Canis lupus familiaris: one gene and its partners. The protein of the gene in region 3 purifies or fractionates together with the protein of the main gene of each other region. This does not show direct contact. Links are inferred from orthologs where the notes say so. Each region holds a gene or a part of one and is shown on either strand. Other genes may lie near its edges.

Region 1 (3,931 bases), on a different chromosome or scaffold from region 3:
TCTCTATGTCTATCATAAATAAATAAATCTTTTTTAAAAAATCTTTAAAAAAAAAAAAAGGTCACGGGCAAATTGCTTGAAAAATCAAACAGGGCAGCCCAGGTGGCTCAACGGTTTAGTGCCGACTTCGGCCCACGGCCTGATCTTGGAGACTCGGGATCGAGTCCCATGTCGGGCTCCCTGCATGGAGCCTGCTTCTCCCTCTGTCTGTGTCTCTGCCTCTCTCTCTCTCTCATAAATAAATTAAAAATCTTAAAAAAAAAAAAAACTGAAACAAAAGCCTGTGTTCTACCAGGACTCCACCTATCACAGATATTCAGCCTCAGAGTCAGTATTTTATGAAGTCCAGTGCTGATCTTGTTGCCACTGAAAGTGTTCAAGCGGGGTTGGAAGCTCTATAAAAGGTTATTTCCTACATTGGAGGAAGTTCGAACCGTTTAAGATTTTGGATGCCTTTTCAATTCTAATATTCCAAATCTCCGTGATGGATGAGCAAGATCTGAGTCTCCAAGATGAACACCTCATTTACCTTCCCTGGCGCAGAGAGCCGGAGCTCAGATCTAGAAGTCTCCCTCTGTGACCTTGCCATTTATACAATAAGTTTCAGGTTCAGATGCTCTCTTCGAAGGGAGACGGAGTTGAGACAACACGAGAGGATTACCGAGTCTCCGTGCGCCTCCACCAGGGGCCGCCAGATGGCGCCCCGGGACCAACTGCGAGATCAACTTCCTTCCTCTTCCCCCAACTCTTCCCGGCAGCGGGGGCCCCGCTCCGGGCTGGGGACCCGAGGCCTGGGGCCCCCCAGCTTCCCTCTGGGGTTCCCCGGCTTCAGAAGTGGGCAAGAGTTAGGCGCAGCATGAGCCGAGTAGCAGCAGGGACTGCCAGCTGTCTGGGGGCTGGCGGGGCGGGTAAAGAGACCGGAGCCGGGGCCCTTGGCCGGGAGATGGCGCCCGGTCAGCGAATCCAGCCTGCGACAGGTCCCCCTGCCAGAGCCCTAGCAGTAGCGGCCCGTCATCCTACCTCCCGACTCCTCCGCCTGAGCTAGTATCTCCCCTCTAGGGGCGTGCGTGAGTCGCTCCGGATTGGCTGCACGAGTCCGGAGTTAAACTTTCAGCCAATGAAAAAGGGCACGGGGCGTGACGCACGGAAACGTCACGGGAATTCCCCCCTCCCGGGGGTGGAAAAGGGGCTTTCCCGGCTGGAGCCTGGGTGGCTGTGGAGAAGTGTCGCGACCCGTCCGAGGTGGGTCGGGCCGGAGAGAAGCCGGAACCGGAGCCGCCGCCGCGGTGAGTGGCCGGGACACGGGGAAGGGCGGAAGGAGGGCCCTTAACTAACCGAGGCTCAGGGCTGGAGAGCGGTATCTGCAAGCACACACAGGACGCACACGAACAAGACGTACGGATACTCATCGACATCCTTGTACAAAAAAACAAAACAAAACACGCGGACCCATACGTGCACCTACGCGTATGCGAACGAGTGCACAGCACTGTCCATGCATTCAGACTCGCGCACACGCAAACATGCTCACCCGTGCACAGGTGCCTGGACCCATATCCTTCACGCACGAACTCCTATGTTCACCTGTGCCCTTACATATCAAAACACGCTCAGACGCGTCCACACTGAGAAGTTCACAGACGCTCACCTGCACACAGCCTTGCTCACTGGTACATGCATACTGACACCACGCAAGCACATGGGACGACGCACACTATGCCTGTGATACACACACACGGCCATGGGCCTGGGGCAGGGGGCGTGGGCACCCGGAGCAGGTGCGGTGTGGGAACCCAATGACTGCTGAGATGTTTCGGGGAGAGGCAACAGAAGGGCCCGTCCCAAGAAGGAGACCCTGTTCCTCCCCCCGCCCCACGGCCCCAGAGTCCGTTCTCGGGGCAGAACCCCGGGGGCCCCCGCTGGGAAGAGCCCCCGCCTACAGGCCTTCGGAAAGGAGGCCTTCCTACAGCAGGAATGTCCCCCCAAAAGCCCCCGGGTGAATCAGCCGTGGCCTCCCTCAGGGTAGAAAATCCCAAGGTTGCTCCAGGACAGGGGAGGGGGAGGGGGCGGGAGGCGGGCCTCGCCCCGACCTAAGAGCGTCCCCCACCTTTGAAAGGCCCTCCAGCCCCCCGCACCTGCCCTGGGACGAGGAAGGGGGCCCAATCACCAGGGGCGCCTCCCTGGGTCTGGCTGCCCCTCTGCCCTCAGAGCCGCTGCAAGCTCGGAGGCCGCCGCCGACCTCGCGCCCCTCCCGCCGCGGGGGCGGGGCCAGTGGCGTCATTTCCAGGCCCGCCCCCTCCGGCCCCGCCTCCCCCTGGTATTTTCGGGACTTTCCTAAGCTGTTCTAACTTTCCTGCCGCTTCCCCGGCCCTGCCCAGCCCAGCTCCGGATCTCGCGCTCTGCCGGATCTCGCCCGCCACACCCGGACGGGTGGCTGGAAGAGATCAGACCCTCCCCCAAATCTGGGGCCCACTCGCCCCCCCCTCGTGTCCTGATCTGTCTCTCCCTCCCACCCCCCGTCACTCCCCCCCGCCCCCACCTAAGGCGGGCGCCTGAAACACTCTGGGAAACAGAACCTGGCCGGAGCCACCAGACAGAGCCGGGCCTAGCCCAGAGACATGGAAAGTTGCTACGACCCAGTGAGTCACGCCTCCTGGCCCTAAAACCGGCCGGCTGCCCCCCATGTCTGTCTGTCTGTCTGCCTGTCTGTCGGAGTCCCCTCTGCCCCCCTACACCTGTAATGCCCTCTGATTATCTCAACCTGCTTGTCAGTCTGCCTGCCTGTCTGCAAACTTTTTCCAAGAGGAGCTTTTTATGGGTCTGGGGAGGAAAGGGAGTGGCTACCCAGGGCTGGGAAGTGGAAGGCTCTCCGGTGTCTCAGATTCAGTTGCCACCCTAATCTGTTTCCAAACCAGGGTCTGGATGGCATGATTGAATATGATGATTTCAAATTCGACCCGTGCATTGCAGAGCCCAAGGAGCCAGCCCCAGAGACAGGTTAGTGAGTTCCTTAGCTCCCCTTGTCCTAGAGAGGGGGGAGGGAGGAGCATGTGCCCTCTGACTGGGGGATGGCCCTGAAATCCTGGCTCAGCAAGGCCCCTTTGTCCCCAGCTGATGGACCCTACTTGGTGATAGTCGAACAGCCTAAGCAGGTGAGTGAATGGAAGGGATGGTGTGGGAGGACTTCGGCTGTAGGGACCAGTGGGGTAGTTGTAGTTGGGTGGCCATGGGGAGGGTCACTGATCACGGAGGCCACTTCGGGTTGAAACGGCTGACTGCTACTGATCACAATGGAGGTGTTGTGGTTCAGGAGAGACACTGCCAATTGTGGTCACTGATGGCTGGGAGTGTGACTGGCTTGGGGGGAAAAGAGGGGTCCCTCCTGTTCACATTGTCAATCTGCCCTGGGACGTTCAGCGAGGCTTCCGATTTCGATATGGCTGTGAAGGCCCCTCCCATGGAGGATTGCCAGGGGCTTCCAGTGAGAAGGGTCGGAAGACTTATCCCACAGTCAAGGTGAGTCAGGATGGTGCTGGATGGAGGGTGGGCTAACAGTGTGTTCAGGAGCATTACTGACAACCCTCACCCCTCCCAGATCTGTAACTACGAGGGACCAGCCAAGATTGAGGTGGACCTGGTAACGCACAGTGACCCACCTCGCGCTCATGCCCACAGCCTGGTGGGCAAGCAATGCTCGGAGCTGGGGGTCTGCGCCGTGTCTGTGGGGCCCAAGGACATGACTGCCCAGTAGGTGCCCCCTCATTGCCTCCCAGTCCTAGGCCCCAGCCTGCCTCTGTGAGTTTAGCATCTGACCAAGGAGAGAGACAGGTTGGCCTCAGAACCCCAGGCCCCAAGTGAAAACCAGGAAGGCTTCCTGGAGGAATGAGGGCTGAGCTGAGGCCTGGCAGTAGAGAGGGTGCCTCAGGAGGAA
Region 2 (3,986 bases), on a different chromosome or scaffold from region 3:
GAGAACCAGAAGCTTTCTAAAGGGATATAGCTTGAATTTTATGGAGTGTAATTTTGTGTATGAATTATAAAGGATCAAGGGTTTTCATAAGGAAGGCGCTAGTAGGATTAATTACTGGTCCATTGTGTAGAGACAGGTTTATAATATATTGTTATACGTGTGTGATAACACTAGATAACACCAGAAAGAGTAAGCTGTGTCTTGATAAGTTGATTAATCTTTACAAAATGAATGATGTTATAGAAACATGATTTTTTAAGTGAAAGATAGGTTGTTTGATTTTTAAATGCAGTGTTAAAGTTCCTGTTGTGGAAATTTTATGGTTAAGTAGTTGATGGAGAAAATACCTTCAGTTGACCAAGTGTAGTTGATATGCAGAGTGAGGAAGAAACAAATCGTCATGCTGTAGGAAATGGAAACAAGTACAGACAAAGGTGGAAGAGTTAGCAGTTAGCTTTAAGCAAAATTCATATGACATCATACATGCTAAAACAGGCAAGGTTAGGTCTGGAAAGCTGGTGAGTGTTGATACCCTCACATAAATACTGTGGTGATAACCTATGTGAAATTAGCCTTTAGATATTGTGACCATATGAAGAGTTTAATTCTTGTTTGCTGGAATAAAGCCAAGAGTTTTAAAAATATATTGAGGTGCTTGGAAGAGACCTGTGTATACTTTTTCCCACTCGAAGCATAATTGTGATTGGCTTAATAAACAGGTTTTGGAACTTGTAACTAAAAACATATTAACGGTATAATTTAGGTACCTTATTTAGAATTTTGGGAACATCAACCTTCTGAAGAATCAGGCAGTTTTAACATATTTCCGTAAGTGTGCCAATATCTTCTCAGGTCTTTATGTTGATATTACACCAAATAATGAGCAGTTAGCACTTGTTACATAAGAGTTAATCTGAAATAGTGCTAAGTAGTATCCTGGTAATTTAATATCCTGGATTCCAGGTATTATCTCACCTCAGTGTAAACTCTGGCATAAATCCCATAAAGAAGGTGTAGTGAGTTTTACAGAAGTAGGAGCCTGTCATTTGATTCTTTTATATGATAAAAACTAATTTTTTGTGAAGATAGAAGTTTCATGTGAAGGTTTTTAGCCATCAAAAAGTAACATCACTCATGCACAAAACTACTTCCCAAAGACTTGTCCCAGGTTCATATCAGAGGATTAAGAGGACAATGGAGGATAGCACCATCTTACGAAACCAGACAATTGGCAACAAACAAAAAATAAAATATGACTTTTCGTGTGAACTCTATAGAATGTCTACATACTCCACATTCCCGGCGGGTGTTCCCGTCTCAGAGAGGAGCCTGGCCCGCGCAGGCTTCTATTACACGGGTGTGAATGACAAGGTCAAATGCTTCTGCTGTGGCCTGATGCTGGACAACTGGAAGCCTGGAGACAATCCTGTTGAAAAGCATAAACAGCTCTATCCAAGCTGTAGTTTTATTCACAGTCTGGTTTCTCTCACCAGCCGGGATTCCACCTCTAAGAACATTTCTGCAATGAGAAACAGTTTTACACATTCGATATCTCCCACTTTGGAACATGGCTCATTTAGTGGTTCTCATTCCAACCTCGCAGCAAACCCTGTGAGTTCCAGAGCAGGTGAAGACTTCTCCCCACTGAGCACTAACCCCTACAGTTACGCCATGAGCACCGAGGAAGCCAGATTTCTTACTTATCACATGTGGCCGCTAACCTTTCTGTCCCCGTCAGACTTGGCAAGGGCAGGCTTTTATTATATAGGACCTGGAGATAAGGTGGCCTGCTTTGCCTGCGGTGGGACCCTGAGTAACTGGGAACCAAAGGATGACGCGATGTCCGAACACCGGAGACATTTCCCCAACTGCCCGTTTTTGGAAAATTCTCTGGAGACCCTGAGATTTAGCATTTCAAATTTGAGCATGCAGACCCATGCGGCCCGGTTGAGAACTTTCGTGTACTGGCCATCTAGTGTCCCCGTGCGGCCTGAGCAGCTCGCAAGTGCTGGATTCTATTACGTGGGTAAGAAACTAAGGTGTAGTGTATGATTTATCAGGTTCGCTTTGTTGAACATATCAGAACATGTATTTCAGTTCAGTCTTGTTTTCTTTAGGTCGCAATGATGATGTCAAATGCTTTTGCTGTGACGGTGGACTGCGGTGTTGGGAGTCTGGAGATGACCCATGGGTGGAGCACGCCAAGTGGTTTCCCAGGTAATTGCTTTGAAAGGTATTTCCACACAAAACTGCTTTCCAAAAGTAGGTCTGCTTGCAGGGTTCATGTTTACATCTCTGTGTAGCAAAGATGCTTTTATGCCTGTGGGGACTTGGTCTTTTAAAACACCAAATCTGGGGCATCTGGCTGGCTCAGTCGGAGGAGATTGTGACTCTTGCTCTCGGGGTTGTGAGTTTGAACCCCACATTGGGTGTGGAGGTTATTCTTTAAGATAAAAACTGAAAAAAATACACTGAATTTTTATTTTGATAAAAATGTTTTAGTATTCTCTTTTCTTTTGTAAGCTGTGTATTCAGGATATAATTTAATTTATTTATTTTTAAGATTTATTTATTTGAGAGAGAGAGCACTAGATGGGGCGGGGACAAGCAGACTTGATGTGGAGCTGGATCTCAGGACCCCGAGATCGTGACCTGATCACAGTCAGATACTTAACTGACTGAGCCACCCAGGTGCCCCTAATTTAATTTATTGATATTCATTTACAATTATGGCCATATGTTTTATCTGTAGGGTTCCCCTTTTGCCTTAAAGAAATTGTAAGGATTACAAAGGTGTGTAAAATAACATGAAAGAGCAGCCCGGGTAGCTCGGCGGTTTAGTGCCCCCTTCAGCCCAGGGTGTGATCTTGCAGACCGGGATCGGGTCTCAGGTCAGGCTCCCTGCATTGAGCCTGCTCTTCCCTCTGCCTGTGTCTCTGCCTCTCTCTCTCTGTCTCTCTCTCTCTCTCTGTCTGTCTCGCATGAATAAATAAATAAATCTTAAAAAGAAAAAAGTACATTGGAAAAAAGGGAAGAGGAGAAAAAGCGACATAAAATGATCTAGGAAAAGGCAAATACAAAAATGCATATAATGAAAGCTGATTAAGTCTGATTATAATTATGTTATTTTTTCTGTACAGTTAATCTTGTGATTGTCACTCATCTTTTCTTAGTCACTGTGTCTCTAGCAGTAGGTCCTGTTTTCCACTGTACCCCACAAAGAATTGAGAGGCAGTATTGTTTGTGGAAGTAGAATTAGAAATTCATTTTTGAGAAGCTTTGTGAACTTGGACATGTCGTGTGACCCATTTGAAACTCTGTCCTCCTTTGTATAGTGAGGGGGTTAGACTAGGTAATTTTTTAAATTGTGGTAAAAAATACCTAACAAAATTTACCGTTTTAACCATTTTTAAATTTCTCCTTCTGTATGTACTTCTCTGCATTCACATTGTTCCTCAGTCATCACCACCAGACTTTCCTGTCATCCCAAGCATAGCTTGTACTCCTCACATGGCTCCCCGTCACCCCCACAGCCATGGTTCTTCTGCATTTCACCAGGTGCCTCATAGGAGTGCAGTTGAGCAGGACAATGTCCTGACCTGAGTGCCTTTCATAAGAATGAGGAATCTCTTGAACACCTTCAGGAAATTAAAACATCCTTTTGTCTTTTTTTTTTTTTATGATTTAAGATAAAGGAACTTGAAGTAAGAACTATTTTGAGTCAGTACATTGTTAAAAGTTGTGTTTTGGAACGCCTGGGTGGCTCAGCGGTTGAGCATCTGCCTTTGGCTCAGGGCGTGGTCCTGGGGTCCTGGGATTGAGTCCCACCCACATCAGGCTCCCTGCATGGATCCTGCTTTTCCCTCTACCTGTGTCTCTGCCTTTCTCTCTCTCTCTCTCTCTCTCTCTCTCTTTCTCTCTGTCTCTCATGAATAAATAAATAAAATCTTTAAAAAAAAAAGTTGGGTTTTAAAATTTTATCTTTA
Region 3 (3,500 bases):
TAAATAAATAATTTTAAAAAAATAAAAAATAAAAAAAGACTTAGGGCATCTATGCGCATGTGGGGGTGAGGGGCAGAGGGAAAGGGAGGGAGAGAATCCCAAGCAGACTCCCTGCTGAGTGCTGAGCTTGGAACCCTCACCAGGCTCGATCCCACCACCCTGATGTGGATGCTGAAGTCCAGGAAGGAGAGGTGGGCCAGATGGGTAGCTGGCTGGGACAGGAGGGCCATGTCCATTCTTCCCACCCAGCTCCCTCTGGCCTGTTCTTTCTGCTTGCTCTCCCTGGGACTGGCACATTGTGTTTTGAAGCATCCCCTCTGACCCCTTTGGGTCTAAGTGACAATTTTTTTTTTTTTTTAAGATTGTCATTTTTACGTAGTCTCTACACCCAATCTGGGACTCGAACTTGTAACTCTAAGATTAAGAGTCACACACTCAACAGACTGAGCCACCCAGGCGGTCCTGGGTGAGAATGTTTTTAACATTGCTGGGACACTCCCAAGGACTTATGGATTTCTTAATAATTAAAGCAGAGGTTCCCAAACTTTCTTGCTTCGCAGCCCTTAGTGTCAGAAATTTTTCATGGTACCTCAGGCCAAAACAAGTACATTAAAGCTCCCTTTAGGTCAAACAATAGTGGGTTTTTTTTTTAAGATTTTATTTATTTATTCATGAGAGACAGAGAGACAGAGAGAGAGAAAGGCAGAGACACAGGCAGAGGGAAAAGCAGACTTCATGCAGGGAGCCCGACGTGGGATTCCATCCCGGGTCTTCAGGTCAGCCATGGGCTGCAGGCAGCGCTAAACCGCTGAGCCCCCACCCCCCCTGCCCAAAAGGTAGTGTTCAACCTAACAACTTAGTGGTCATTTGAATAACAATGCATATAAGTCAAAGAACCTTTTTCTTCTGTTCTTTTTTTTTTTTTAAGATTTTGTTTATTTATTCATGAGATACACACAGAGAGAGAGGCAGAGACACAGGCAGAGGGAGAAGCAGGCTCCATGCAGGGAGCCTGATGTGGGACTCGATCCCAGGACTCCAGGATCACACCCTGGGCCAAAGGCAGACATTCAACCGCTGAGCCACCCAGGGATCCCTTTTTCTTCTGTTCTTAACCATAATTCCTAACGGGATGTATGCCTCCTTGGGCACTGCACAATTCTCAAATTTTGAAATCCAGCTGGACATCCTCACCTGCTCCACACTTCCCCCCTAAAGTACTTTTATCACAGCACCCTCCAGAAACGTAGCTCCATGAAGATCTGTGGAAAGAATGGAGCACAAGCTAATGCTGAAACTGAGCTCTTTTGAGCAAGTAGTTTCTGTGATGCCCCACAAGATAGCCATCACTGCTGCTTCCCTCAAATGTCAAACACCCTGCGGCGCCCTGCTGAGTCCTCAGGGGTGCCCCAGAGTGCTTCCGCTCACAGCTTGGGAGCCAGAGAGTTAAAGACATTTGCTAGTACAAGTCCTGTTGGTGAACTCCAGCTCAGGTTCAGAGCTGGAAACACTGACAAAGAGTCAAAGTTTATGCGAGTTGATTAACCAAACCAGATATTCTGTAACCAGAAGACATTTTCCACTGATAGGCGAAAGTCCAAAAGCCCAAAAGCCCCACATCGGCAGAGCTCCTGCCAAGTCAGCACGTCTCCAAGCAAAGCTCTGCCAGGCAGGTCCTGACTGGTTTCTTCCAGGCTGGTTTTGCTGCCACTGGCGCCCCCTGCTGGTACCTCTCAAAGCTAAGTCAGGAACGAGCTGCAGCCAGAAAGGACAAGCCTCTGTTAGAATTCCAGGTGTTTAATGAGCCGCCCTTATTTGACCTGAAGTGGACACCTGACATTTCCTGAGCACCCACTGGTTGCCAGGCCTGGTGTTGATTGTTGATTATCATCCCTCCAAGTCCTCCCTCTATGCGGGACCAGATACCACTGTCACCTCCCTTTGCATATGGAAACAGAGCTTAGGGGAAGCAATCTACCTTTGGAAATGGCCAAGCCAGAGTCTGTCTAGGATGTTTGGATCCCAGGCCTATTTCATCCCACCCTGCTGCGCTGGTCCCTGCACAAAGGAGTGGGTGGTCCCTGCGGGAGGAGCCTTGGCCAAGCCACTCCCCCTTAGAAGCTGCTCTTAGGCCAAGATCCTGGGGAAACAGCTGCAAACAGAATAAACAAGCACTACTCCATCTACATAGACATTTTCATCCTCAGGGGAAAAGACAAATAATTGGGAGTTGAGAAAAGCGCTGAGAAGGGTGCTGACAGAGCCAGGATCTTGGCTGCATCAGCTCTGGCTGCAGATAAGATGGAAACCCGGCCTCTGGGGAATAGACACAAATGTTGATAAACAAAAGGTCCCACATCCTAGAAATGGCCTGGCCATTTGGGCTAGGGGAGAAAAAATTCTGTTTTTGGCAGATTTGAGGGTGGGCAGCATGCCAGGGCTCTGGATAGGGTTGTAGTTTTTGTGTGATTCTAATTGTTTCCACACACATCAGCAGTGCAGAACTTTAACCACATACTAGAAGTTGAACATGACCCCCAGGGTACATAGTTTAGTTTCAGGGTCCAGTAGCCCCACCGGGGCCCTGCCTGGCCTCACAGTCAACACGGGAAACATTAGCAGTCTCTGCAGGGAGCACCGAGGGTCCTGCCAGGATGCCAGGGAAATGGCCCCAGGCCCTCACGCTGACTCACAAAGACCTCTGGGCCCTGCCAGGTGCGCATCGAAGTGTTCCGGGCAGAGGAGTTGATGGCGTGTGCGGGATTGACCTCACCCAGAATCGTCCCTTTGTATGGAGCTGTGAAGGAAGGTCCTTGGGTCAACATCTTCATGGAACTGCTGGAAGGTAAGGAGCCAGGCGCCACTCTTCCCCCGTCATAGTTCAGAGCCAAGACTTGGGGTTTCCCCACGTCTTGCCCAGGTTGACCTTGGTCCCTAGTAATTCCATTTTTTAATCTTCTGACCCTGTGACATGGCCAGGAAAGGCCTCCTTTCCACCAGCTGCCCTTCAAAGGCCTTTGCCCTTGGCCTGCCTGCAGACCTGGAAATGCCCCACATAAAGTCTGGCCGTTGGTCTCCTAGGTGGCTCGTTGGGTCAGCTCATAAAGCAGAAGGGCTGTCTGCCAGAGGACCGGGCCCTTTACTACCTAGGCCAGGCTCTAGAAGGGCTGGAATACCTCCACTCTCAAAGGATTCTGCACGGAGATATCAAAGGTGAGGCTCATGCCCCGACCGCCCTGGTCCCCAGCTAGCTCCTCTCTTACCTCATCCTGCCTGATTTCCTCGTGGATCTGGGCCTGCCTGGCCATTCCCTGGGGCAGGGCCTGAGTCCGGCCTACAGGGCTATGCTGGTGGGACGGGGAAGTGTGCTGACCAAGCCCTCAGCCTGACACCATAGCTGCCAGTGGCAGATCCAGCTCCTATAGGCCCATGACCACTGGGAGAAGGCAGGGGGACAGTAGAGCTGAGTGGCAGCAGCCCCAGGAGTAAACTCTGTCCCT
Region 4 (2,552 bases), on a different chromosome or scaffold from region 3:
CTCCTGTCCGCAGCCTCCCCCTGAAGGGACGTTGCTGTGGCTGTGGCGGTGCCCCCGGTGGCCCCGGGCCTGTCCACCCCGCCGCCGCGTCCGCTCACCGTTTACACCCTCCACATAGATACACAGAAGTTATTTTTTTAATGGATATTTATTTTTCTACATTGGTCAGTACCCAGACTGCGGCCCGGGCCCCACTGCAGGGCTGTGCGGGCGGCGCTGGGACCGCCCCGGGGGAGGGGCGCTGCCCCGTGGGTCCTTCCGAAAGGGCAGCTGAGTCTTGCAGACGAACACTGAGCCACGCCCGCCTCCCTGGGACGCGGCTTGGGGCCGGGCCGAGGCCCCTGGAGGTGTAGTGTCCGCGGGCCGGGGCTCGCTTCTCAAGGACGGAAACGTGTCCCCGCTTCCCCCGATGCTGACGGGCCCCGGGACGGCGGCCGGACCCGGCCCGACCCCGGGGCGCCCGCGGCGGACCTGGGCGCGGAGGCTGGGCCTCGGGGCAGCTGGGCCCGCAGCCCCGGCCTCCCCAGGAGGGGAGCGGCCACGCTAGGCCGCGGCAGGCCCCGGGGGCGCGGTGCACCGGGCGGGTGGCCTCCGTGCTGCAGGCGTCCCGGGGGGGGGGGGGGGGCCTGGGCAGCAGCTCGGGGTCCGACGTCCTTAGCTTTAAGGGCTCCAGGGGCGCGGAGTGGGCTCCCCCGCCGCCCGCCCCCCGCCCCGCCCCCGCGCCGGAGCCCCGGCTGCCGGCTCAACCTGCCGGGCCGCGCCCGGGGCCTTGCATGCCAAACGTGTGGTCTTTTTCTTTCTCCGATGATTTGTAATATGCATTTTATGACTGGAAACTTTTTGTACGACGCTCCAATAAACGTTTTGGTTTTAAGTGCTGCCCCCGAGTCCGCGGTGACGCGGCGGCCCCGCCCGGCGGGAGGGGAGGGTCGGAGACCCCGGGGCGGCCCGCGCTGTCGCTCACGTGATGCGCTGTGCGCATGCGCGGCGGCACCCGCTGTGCGACTCGAGGACGTCCCGGGCGGCCCTCGAGCCTCCCACCCGCCGCCGCCGGCTCGCTCGGGGGGCCGCACGGCCTTGTGGGAGTTGTAGTCCAACTCGGCTCCACGCCCAGACTCCATTTCCCGTGATGCCCCGGGCGGCCGACTTCCGGCGTGGGTACGGATCGGCGCACGCGGTGTCGGTTCGGTTGATTTTGCGGAGCCATGGAGGGTGGCTTCGGGTCGGATTTCGGGAGCTCCGGCGGCGGCAAGCTGGACCCGGGGCTCATCATGGAGCAAGTGAAGGTGCAGATCGCCGTGGCTAACGCACAGGAGCTGCTGCAGGTCCGGGGCCAGGCCGGGGCGGGCGCCGTGGGCGGTGGGGTCCACGGGGGTGGGTGTCGCGGCTGAGCTCGCGTGTCCCCACAGAGGATGACGGACAAGTGCTTCCGGAAATGCATCGGGAAGCCGGGGGGCTCCCTGGACAACTCCGAGCAGGTGAGTCCGGCGGGGCGGCGGGGAGCAGCTGCGCGTGCGCGGGCCGGGGGGCGGTCGCGGCGGGACCAGTGCGCGTGCGCAGCCCGCTGCCCGGGGAGGGGGCGCGGGGCGCCGGGCGCGGGCGGGGCGGGGCGGGAGCTGAGGCGCGCCCTCCCCGCCTGCAGAAGTGCATCGCCATGTGCATGGACCGCTACATGGACGCCTGGAACACCGTGTCGCGCGCCTACAACTCGCGGCTGCAGCGGGAACGAGCCAACATGTGACCCCGGGGCGCCGCGCCCGGCCCCCTCCCCTCACTCTGTTTCCATAAAAGCCCTTTGCGAGGCGGGGTCCGCCCGTGCGTCCTGCCTGCGCGTGCTTGTGAGACCGGCCGGCGAGCGCGGCGGGGGCCCGGGGGCCCGGGGGCCCGGGGGCCCGGGACTTGGAGCGGCGGCACGGCCCCTGCTGTGGCCAGGCCCACCTCGGCCTCGAGCGGAGAATGCGCATTTGGACCTGGGGGTGCGGTCGCCTCCTACCCCCACCCTCGAGCTGTGACCTCTGACGGTGGACGGACGAATAAAAGGGGCGGAGAGAAGCCGGGCGCTGTTTCCTGCGGGGCTCTGCGGGCGGTGGTCGCGCGCGTCCCCGGGGGGCCCCCGGCAGCCCCTCGGGGCGGGGGACGGGGCAGGGGCCCCTGCTACGGCGCGGAGGTGCGGAGCCAGAGGCAGGGGCACGGGCACGGGCACGGCCGTTTATTGCAACAAGGTTGGCGGGGACGCCGCCCGCAGCCCCCTCCCCCGCGCGGCCGGCCCCGCCGCCTCCTCCTGGCCCCGGGCGGCGGCCGCGGCGGTCACTCCTGGACGTGCTGCCCGATCCAGCCCCGCACGGCGGCCACCCGCGTGTAGACGCCCGGGAAGTGCGGCCGTCCGCAGCCGTAGCCCCAGCTGGTGACCCCCGTCAGCACCCAGCGGCCCGACGGCTCCCTGCAGGCCAGCGGTCCCCCGGCGTCACCCTGGGCGAGAGGCGAGGCCTGAGCGCGGGCCGCCGCCGGCCGGGCCCCGGGAGGCGGCTCCGGGAGGGCGGTTGGGCGCGGGC
Region 5 (3,143 bases), on a different chromosome or scaffold from region 3:
CATGGCATCTGCCCCTGTGCCCCTGGTCCAGTCTGGGAAGTCCAGTGTCAGCCAGAGGCTCCCAGGGATAGTAGGTAGGAGGGGCTCCTAACAGTGACGGCACGTGAATTCCAAGGCCAGGTTTTGAGGACACAAGGGCCACCTCAACCACTGAAGAAAAGGACTGACCACAGAGGGAAGAAGAGGAAAGGCCTTGCCAGATAGTACCCTGTAACTTGCATCAGAATTTTGAGTGCAAATTTATTGAGGAAAGACAGTGGGCTATGGCTCAGTGCAGCACAGGACTCCGCACCAACAGAACAGCACATTCCTGCCCAGACCCCAGAGAGCCACGGCTCTGAAAATGCTGAGCCTGGCTGCTTGGCCCTGGCCAAAGCAAGAGCCTGCCCAGTAAGGCTGCTCTTGGATTTGGGAAACCGTTCTCAAGTTCCAGAAGAAAGTCCTGCCCATTAAACTAGCATCCTCTGCTGAAGCCAGGATACATGTGAGGAAGCAGGCACTTACAAGCAGCTTAGCTGTTTATTTAGTCAGTAGAAAAATGACTTTACAGGTTTGCGGTACATTAAGGGAGACGGGGCCCCACCCCCATGCTAGAACACTCCAGTCCAGTCCAGTGCCTGACACGTGGTCTGCAGATGTGCATATGGGCACATGAGCTATCTGGACGCCCCAGAGCATCTCCTAAGTGTGCTGCCCCCGTGGGGGGCACCGATTTCATGCCCAGCAGCTGGGCCTGACAAGAAGAATCTGAGGAGTCAAGCCCTAGAAGCGGCCCAGCACAGTGGCTAACAGAGCCATGCGTATGTACATGCCATTCTCGGCCTGGCGGAAGTAGGCTGCTCGGGGGTCTGAGTCCACCTCCACACTGCAAGAGAAGGACAATGGTTAGCACACAGCCCACAAGATGGACTGTCTTAGACCAGGTGCCCACCCCCAGTGTAGCCTCAATTCTAAAGTCATGTCACCTGATCTCATTGACTCGAGGCATTGGGTGCATCACCACCATCTTCTTCTTGGCCCGTGTCATGATGTGGGGAGTGAGGATGAACTGGCCAAAGCACTGTGAGGCAGACAGGGGCCATGTCAGTGTCTCAGGGCTGGGGTGGCTGTGTGGCCATAAGCCTGGATTCCTCCAGGATCCCTTCCACAGCCACACATGGTTATCACAACCAAGAGGCCTGATCAAGCTTCCAGCCGTCCCATCCACTAATTTGGATGCCTCGAAGCTCCAGCCCCGGCCTCCCCTCAACCGCGGCACTCACAGCTTCATACTCCTGGCTAGACTCAAAGCGTTCCTTCTGGATTCGAGTCATGTAGAGCACATCAGTGTCGGGCAGGGCTTCCTCAATGCTCTCAAATTCCTCCTGGAGGGTGAGGCAGAACCAGAGTGAATGCAGTGCCAGGCTCTCACTGCCCAAACCATGTCCCTCATGGCCTCCTGGGCTCACCTGCTTGGTGCCACGGGCCGCCACAAAGGCCCGCACATTGGATGGCATGCGCAGGCTGGGAGGGGCCACATAACGCAGGCTGACACGGTACTGGGTGAGCAGGCAGGCCAGAGAATGCACTGTGCGTCCATGCTTCAGGTCCCCCACCATTGTGATCTAGGGGAGGAAGCCAATCACCAAGAGGGCCCTCAGATCAAGCACCTGCCCTCCCGCTTCAAAGCTTTCAGACTCAGGACCAGGATATAGGCCCCCTTGCTGCATGCAGCATGCTTTGGAGCAGAGAAGGTACTTCCCAGCTGCCTCACTCTCCAGACCTACCCCTGGCAGGCCTCTAACCCTGACCCACTACCCTCACCGTCATGCCATTGACAGTCCCAAGCTCCTCCCGGATGGTGAAGATGTCCAGCAGGGCCTGGGTGGGATGCTCTCCAACCCCATCCCCAGCATTGATCACTGGCCTCCGGCAGTGCTTGGCTGCCAGCTGTGAACATGAGAACAAGAAAGGAGAACCTTGTCTTCTGCATCTCAGTGGCCCCCGCTCCTTGCCCAAGCCCCACTCTTCCTGGGTCCCCTTCCCTGTCTGGCCCAGACAGAGACTTGCAGTCATGTCCCTAGATCCATCCTCATGAACCCTGTTCCAGTGTGTAGCTTGCCTCACCTCCACTGCTCCAGGCTGGGGATGCCGAAGCACGACGACGTCGGCATAGCAGCTCATGGTCTGCACTGAGTCAGCCAGGGATTCACCCTTCTGGACCGAAGATGTGGCTTCTGAGAAGCTGAGCACAGCGCCCCCCAGCCGGGCCATGGCTGCAGCAAAGGAGCTGCTGGTGCGTGTGCTCACCTCGTAGAACATGGAGGCCATTACCTTCCCCTGGCGGGAGGGCAAGACTCAAAGTGAACATGGGTGTGTTCATCCTGGGGAAAGCACAGGCTGCTGCTTGCTTCCCCGACTTACACAGGAGGGAACCTCTCCCTGCAAACCTCCTCGTGACCTGTCCTAACCTTGACATTTCCATCAGTGTCACGCTGAGTTAAAGGCTCCACCTCCAAAGAAACCACTACTAGGTATTTGAATGAGATACTCTCATTCTCTGGGGATGAAGGAAACACCCCAGTTCTATCCCGTGAATACATATTCATAGACCAAATGACCAGATCAGGCTGATACACTGGCTCTCAGGGCCTTATAAGTCAGTTAAATACTCAGAGACCAGACATGGGGGCTGAGGGGTGCCTAGGGTAACAGAACCTTCCAGAGTAGAGAAAGCTAAGTAACACATTGTAGAGCATTTAGATTTACATGAAGGGACCTCCTGTGGAAGAGGGAGATCCCTGCTGACAGGATCCTGGACCCATAACCCACAGCCCTGACCCTGACCTTGAGTATGTCGAGGCTTCGCTCCTTCTGTACCATCATACGCAGCGTGTGTGCCACATTGAACAGGTGAGACATCTAAGAAAGACCCTCAAAGTCAGCTGGAAAGGCAGTGGCCCTCAGAGGTCCTACCCCAACTTTTCAGATTCTCAAAGCTCTGGGTGGCCCCATCCTCCCTCCCCCAGGCACCTGATCCTTGGTGAATTGCTGGACAGACAGGATATGTTGACCCACTAATGAGTGCAGCAGGGGTGAGGTCTGGGGGTGCAGCAGGCCAGGGGTCCCCAGGTTCTGGGGTGACGCCTGTCTAGGTACTGGTG
Region 6 (3,500 bases), on a different chromosome or scaffold from region 3:
CTTGAAGAGGCCCACACCCCACCCGACCCTGGCTCCTCGGGGACACTACCTTGATCTTAGTGAAGAACTGCCGGAAGCAGGCACGGGGATCCACCTTCAGGCTCTTAGCCAGCTCCAGGATGAACTGCATGACAATGGTCTGGTGGGCCACTTGCTCCATGAGTGCACATTTCTGCCAAGGGAGAAGAGGTAGGATGTCACCAAGTGGTGGCCTCAGGGCAGGGCTTTCCCCTAGTCCCGGGGTAGACTCCACTCACCTCCTCCACCTCTAGGTCAATGCACCAGATGACCAGGTAGTTGGCTGTCTCCTCGCACACCAGGTGGACATTGTCTGATAGGTACTTCTGGCTGTCATCCCAGCGGCGGAGCATGCCTACGAGAAGGTGTTGGCAAGGTGCTGAGGGGCCCCAGAGGCAGAGGACCAGCCCCTGTCCTGTGTAACCTCCTAACCTTAGCCTGCCGGCCCCCTCCAACGGCCCAACTCACCAAAGTGCTTGATCTGTTTCTCGTACTTCTCCACGAAGGTTTTGTGTTTCTGCTCCCTCACCTCCTCCGACTCCTCCTCCGCCTGCTCTGGTTTGGTATTGACCATGCTCTGTGATGGGGCGAGAGGGGGAGTGGGCTGGGGCGAGGCCGCAGAGCGCCTCCAGCACGGCCGGGTGGGCCGAGGCCGCAGCGCCCATCCCTTCCACGGCGGAGGTGGTGACGGCGCCATGAGCATCAGTGTGGCGGGAGCGTGGGTGTGGCAGGTGTGGCCTCGAACTAGGGCCTTCGGGCAGATCAGAGGGGGGTACCAGTGGGGTGCTTCATCCACCCAGCCCCACACCTGTCCCTCCACCCTCTCCATGCCAGGGCGTCCCTCCCTTGAGCTGTCCAGGCCTTACCCCCACCTACCCCACCAGCCCCTGCATGGGGGGAACCCTGCTGGCCCCCTCCCACCTTGCTGAAACCGTCCTTGCTGAGCGTGTCCACGTTCCAGGGCATGCTCTTCTCCTTCTTGCGCATCTCCTCCAGCTTCTGCTCCCAGCTCCGCTCCTCCTTGCGCAGCTGCTGAGCCTCGGCCTGCAGCCGTTCCAGCTCCACCTTGCTGCCCTCGCCCTCGGCCACCTCCAGCTCCTTCAGCTTCCGCTGGCACTCAGCCACCTTGCGCCTGCACTCGCGGCAGCCCCTGTCCAGCTCCTCCTTCTCCTTCTGGAACTGCTCCATGCGCTCCACCCGGGCCTGCGGGCAGACACAAGCCCTGCACTCCGGGGAAAGGCTGGTCCCTTGACCTCGGCCCTGCCCCACCCAGGGCTCCCACCCCCTGCACCTGGGATGGCCTCAGGGAATGTGTGCACCACCCTCTGTGCCCCCCTGGGGGGGCAGCTTCCATCCCACCAGGATACCTGCACACACCTTACTTTGTGTGTGTCCACCCCCAACCCTGCTCAGAAGGCTCTGTGGCATCCATGTCACTCAGAGCAGAAAACCAAGTCCTATCTATGACCTACAAGGCCCTGCACAATCTGCCCCCTCCCTCCAGTCACAGTAGCTGCTTTGTCTTTTCTTGAACCCACTTCTAAACTCAGGGCCTTTGCACTAGCTGTTGCCCCAGCCTGGAAAGTTCTCTCTCCAGACTCCCCCCACTGGCACCCAAACCAGCTTACTCCCTCACATCCTTGCCATCTTGGCTCAAACATCACTTTACAGATGAGGCCCTTCCCTGACCACCCTGCTGAATGAAGATGGCAACCTCCCCTTACTTGTGCCCTGTTTCACCTTCCTCCTCAGCACTCATTACCTGCTAGCATCTGGTGGCAACCTGGTGACAATTATTTACTGTTCTCAACACTGTCCCTCTCTGAGGAGTGGGGTCCCTAGAGATGGGGGATCTGCTCACTTGTGTCTCACACACAAGTGCACAGTCAAGGCTCAGGAGACACTTGTTGGATGAATAAAGTAAGGAAATACTGGATGGGGGTCTCAGGCCACTCGTCCTCCCCGGAGCCGCCCTCAGTGACACTCAGGTGCCCTCCCTTGCCCAACAACCTCCGATGCCCCCCACTGAGGCCTGTTCACTGGTCCTGTCCTTTCCTCCCTCTTTCCTACCCAGTCCTGACAGCTTTCGCTTCTAGAAGTCTCTCCAATTTGGTCCACCCAGAGAACTACTCCTGGATGGCTGCCCAAGGCCCCATCAGCTATGTCTCCGGGCCAGCACACCCACCCTGAGCCTTAGCTCGGTGCCCACCGGCCTCCTGTCCCCCCTACCCCAGCTGTTGCTCCCCAGACCTCCTCTGCTGTTGCACCCCAAGTTCAGATGGTGCCCTCGTTCCCCCTCTCGCTCCGGTCCCCACAAGACTCTCTACAACATGACATGGCCCTGTCTGTCCTCCACCCTTGCTTTGCTCCATCATCTCCCCCAGCTCTCAGCAGTGCCTGCTCAATCCAAAGCCCCTGACTGAGCCCTGAGAGGTGCCACCACCTTCCACAGCTGTTCCAAGCTAGACTGCCAGTCTTGGAAATTCGCACATCTGTCTGCAGCCCTTCTTGCCACCCCAACCTGGAGCGTCTACGCTCAGATGGGATCCCAAAGCCTTACTCCAAGCTGCCCAAGTGGCACCAAGGCCCCAGGGGGCCAGGGTCCCATTCTCCTTTCCCAATTCTAGGTTGCAGGCAGATCCCAAATGCACCAGCTCGCTCTTGACTCTTGGACTCTGCAAAGGCTGCTCCTTCTACCTGGAACTCTCTTCCTCTCACTCCATGTCCTTTGGCCCCAGGTCTCAGCTTCTACAGAGCCTTCCCCAAGGGCCCCCCATTCCCCATCACTGTGCCTCAAAGCCCCCTTTAAGATCATCAGACAGCATGATAAGACACTGGAGAACAGCCTCAGGGCCCCAGATGTGGAGTCATAAGCCGTGGCTACTGAGTATAGGCTGGGGTCCTTGGGTCAATCCCCTGACCTCTAGGGACCTCCGTTTCCTCATCTGTCAAAGGCAGACAACAGTACCGACCTCACCGAGCGGCACCAGGAGAAGCAAAGGAGATTTAAGTCAAAGTAGACAGTCCAGAGCCATGCTGGATGCTCGGCAAGCACCATTCCCGTGGTGGCGACTGCCATTACTATCCAAGGGGACAATCTCTCTCTCTCTCTTGACCATTCTGGGGCTCAAACAAGAAAGCATACTTCGAGTGTTTCCATCAATTTCCAACCCAGAGCACATGCTCAATACCTGGGAGTGGTTGTTACCGCACTGTCACATCACCCAGCTCCACCGCGTACTGGTGACGTGACCTTGGCTAAGACACTTAAACACTTCTAGCCTTGGAGTTAGTTCCTCTTTGGGAAAAACGCAGCATCAAAGGAGTTACTCCCAGGAAACTGCACGCAGTCCTACGTAATGAACACATTCCGCTGTTAGCGTCACCATCCTGGCCACTGGCCCCAGAGTGGTTCACTCACTCACTTCTGGGCCTTCTCTGAGGCTGTATCTCCAAGTTTGAGCAGAGTCAGGCACGCAGTA

What was found.
Region 1: the proteins of MAP3K14 (region 3) and NFKB2 purify together in Homo sapiens (affinity purification with mass spectrometry; 6 studies listed by BioGRID and IntAct, with this or other methods). This does not show direct contact. The link is inferred for Canis lupus familiaris from reciprocal best matches to the Homo sapiens genes MAP3K14 and NFKB2.
Region 2: the proteins of MAP3K14 (region 3) and BIRC2 purify together in Homo sapiens (affinity purification with western blotting; 3 studies listed by BioGRID and IntAct, with this or other methods). This does not show direct contact. The link is inferred for Canis lupus familiaris from reciprocal best matches to the Homo sapiens genes MAP3K14 and BIRC2.
Region 4: the proteins of MAP3K14 (region 3) and TIMM13 purify together in Homo sapiens (affinity purification with mass spectrometry; 3 studies listed by BioGRID and IntAct, with this or other methods). This does not show direct contact. The link is inferred for Canis lupus familiaris from reciprocal best matches to the Homo sapiens genes MAP3K14 and TIMM13.
Region 5: the proteins of MAP3K14 (region 3) and CAD purify together in Homo sapiens (affinity purification with mass spectrometry; 3 studies listed by BioGRID and IntAct, with this or other methods). This does not show direct contact. The link is inferred for Canis lupus familiaris from reciprocal best matches to the Homo sapiens genes MAP3K14 and CAD.
Region 6: the proteins of MAP3K14 (region 3) and CDC37 purify together in Homo sapiens (affinity purification with mass spectrometry; 5 studies listed by BioGRID and IntAct, with this or other methods). This does not show direct contact. The link is inferred for Canis lupus familiaris from reciprocal best matches to the Homo sapiens genes MAP3K14 and CDC37.

Annotation. Positions count from the first base shown.
Region 1 is NC_049249.1:15,092,336-15,096,266, forward strand, and holds the start of NFKB2 (nuclear factor NF-kappa-B p100 subunit), read left to right. Parts: upstream 1-1,131; 5' UTR 1,132-1,286; intron 1,287-2,544; 5' UTR 2,545-2,618; coding exon 2,619-2,639; intron 2,640-2,915; coding exon 2,916-2,997; intron 2,998-3,111; coding exon 3,112-3,152; intron 3,153-3,417; coding exon 3,418-3,516; intron 3,517-3,595; coding exon 3,596-3,747; intron 3,748-3,931. UniProt on the Homo sapiens protein: NF-kappa-B is a pleiotropic transcription factor present in almost all cell types and is the endpoint of a series of signal transduction events that are initiated by a vast array of stimuli related to many biological processes such as inflammation, immunity, differentiation, cell growth, tumorigenesis and apoptosis.
Region 2 is NC_049226.1:29,451,277-29,455,262, reverse strand, and holds the start of BIRC2 (baculoviral IAP repeat-containing protein 2), read left to right. Parts: upstream 1-1,186; 5' UTR 1,187-1,194; coding exon 1,195-2,026; intron 2,027-2,117; coding exon 2,118-2,217; intron 2,218-3,986. Other genes in the region: proline-rich protein 2-like, read right to left, coding at 348-402. UniProt on the Homo sapiens protein: Multi-functional protein which regulates not only caspases and apoptosis, but also modulates inflammatory signaling and immunity, mitogenic kinase signaling, and cell proliferation, as well as cell invasion and metastasis.
Region 3 is NC_049230.1:18,175,765-18,179,264, forward strand, and holds part of MAP3K14 (mitogen-activated protein kinase kinase kinase 14), read left to right. Parts: intron 1-1,194; exon of another isoform or gene 1,195-1,755; intron 1,756-2,715; coding exon 2,716-2,845; intron 2,846-3,081; coding exon 3,082-3,213; intron 3,214-3,500.
Region 4 is NC_049241.1:57,135,270-57,137,821, forward strand, and holds TIMM13 (mitochondrial import inner membrane translocase subunit Tim13), read left to right. Parts: upstream 1-1,133; 5' UTR 1,134-1,205; coding exon 1,206-1,325; intron 1,326-1,409; coding exon 1,410-1,478; intron 1,479-1,642; coding exon 1,643-1,741; 3' UTR 1,742-2,052; downstream 2,053-2,552. UniProt on the Homo sapiens protein: Mitochondrial intermembrane chaperone that participates in the import and insertion of some multi-pass transmembrane proteins into the mitochondrial inner membrane.
Region 5 is NC_049238.1:21,284,941-21,288,083, reverse strand, and holds the end of CAD (CAD protein), read right to left. Parts: coding exon 3,013-3,143; intron 2,902-3,012; coding exon 2,827-2,901; intron 2,320-2,826; coding exon 2,107-2,319; intron 1,930-2,106; coding exon 1,804-1,929; intron 1,605-1,803; coding exon 1,449-1,604; intron 1,365-1,448; coding exon 1,263-1,364; intron 1,061-1,262; coding exon 966-1,060; intron 866-965; coding exon 763-865; 3' UTR 501-762; downstream 1-500. UniProt on the Homo sapiens protein: Multifunctional protein that encodes the first 3 enzymatic activities of the de novo pyrimidine pathway: carbamoylphosphate synthetase (CPSase; EC 6.3.5.5), aspartate transcarbamylase (ATCase; EC 2.1.3.2) and dihydroorotase (DHOase; EC 3.5.2.3).
Region 6 is NC_049241.1:51,128,770-51,132,269, reverse strand, and holds part of CDC37 (hsp90 co-chaperone Cdc37), read right to left. Parts: intron 1,222-3,500; coding exon 940-1,221; intron 596-939; coding exon 487-595; intron 374-486; coding exon 258-373; intron 173-257; coding exon 50-172; intron 1-49. UniProt on the Homo sapiens protein: Co-chaperone that binds to numerous kinases and promotes their interaction with the Hsp90 complex, resulting in stabilization and promotion of their activity. Inhibits HSP90AA1 ATPase activity.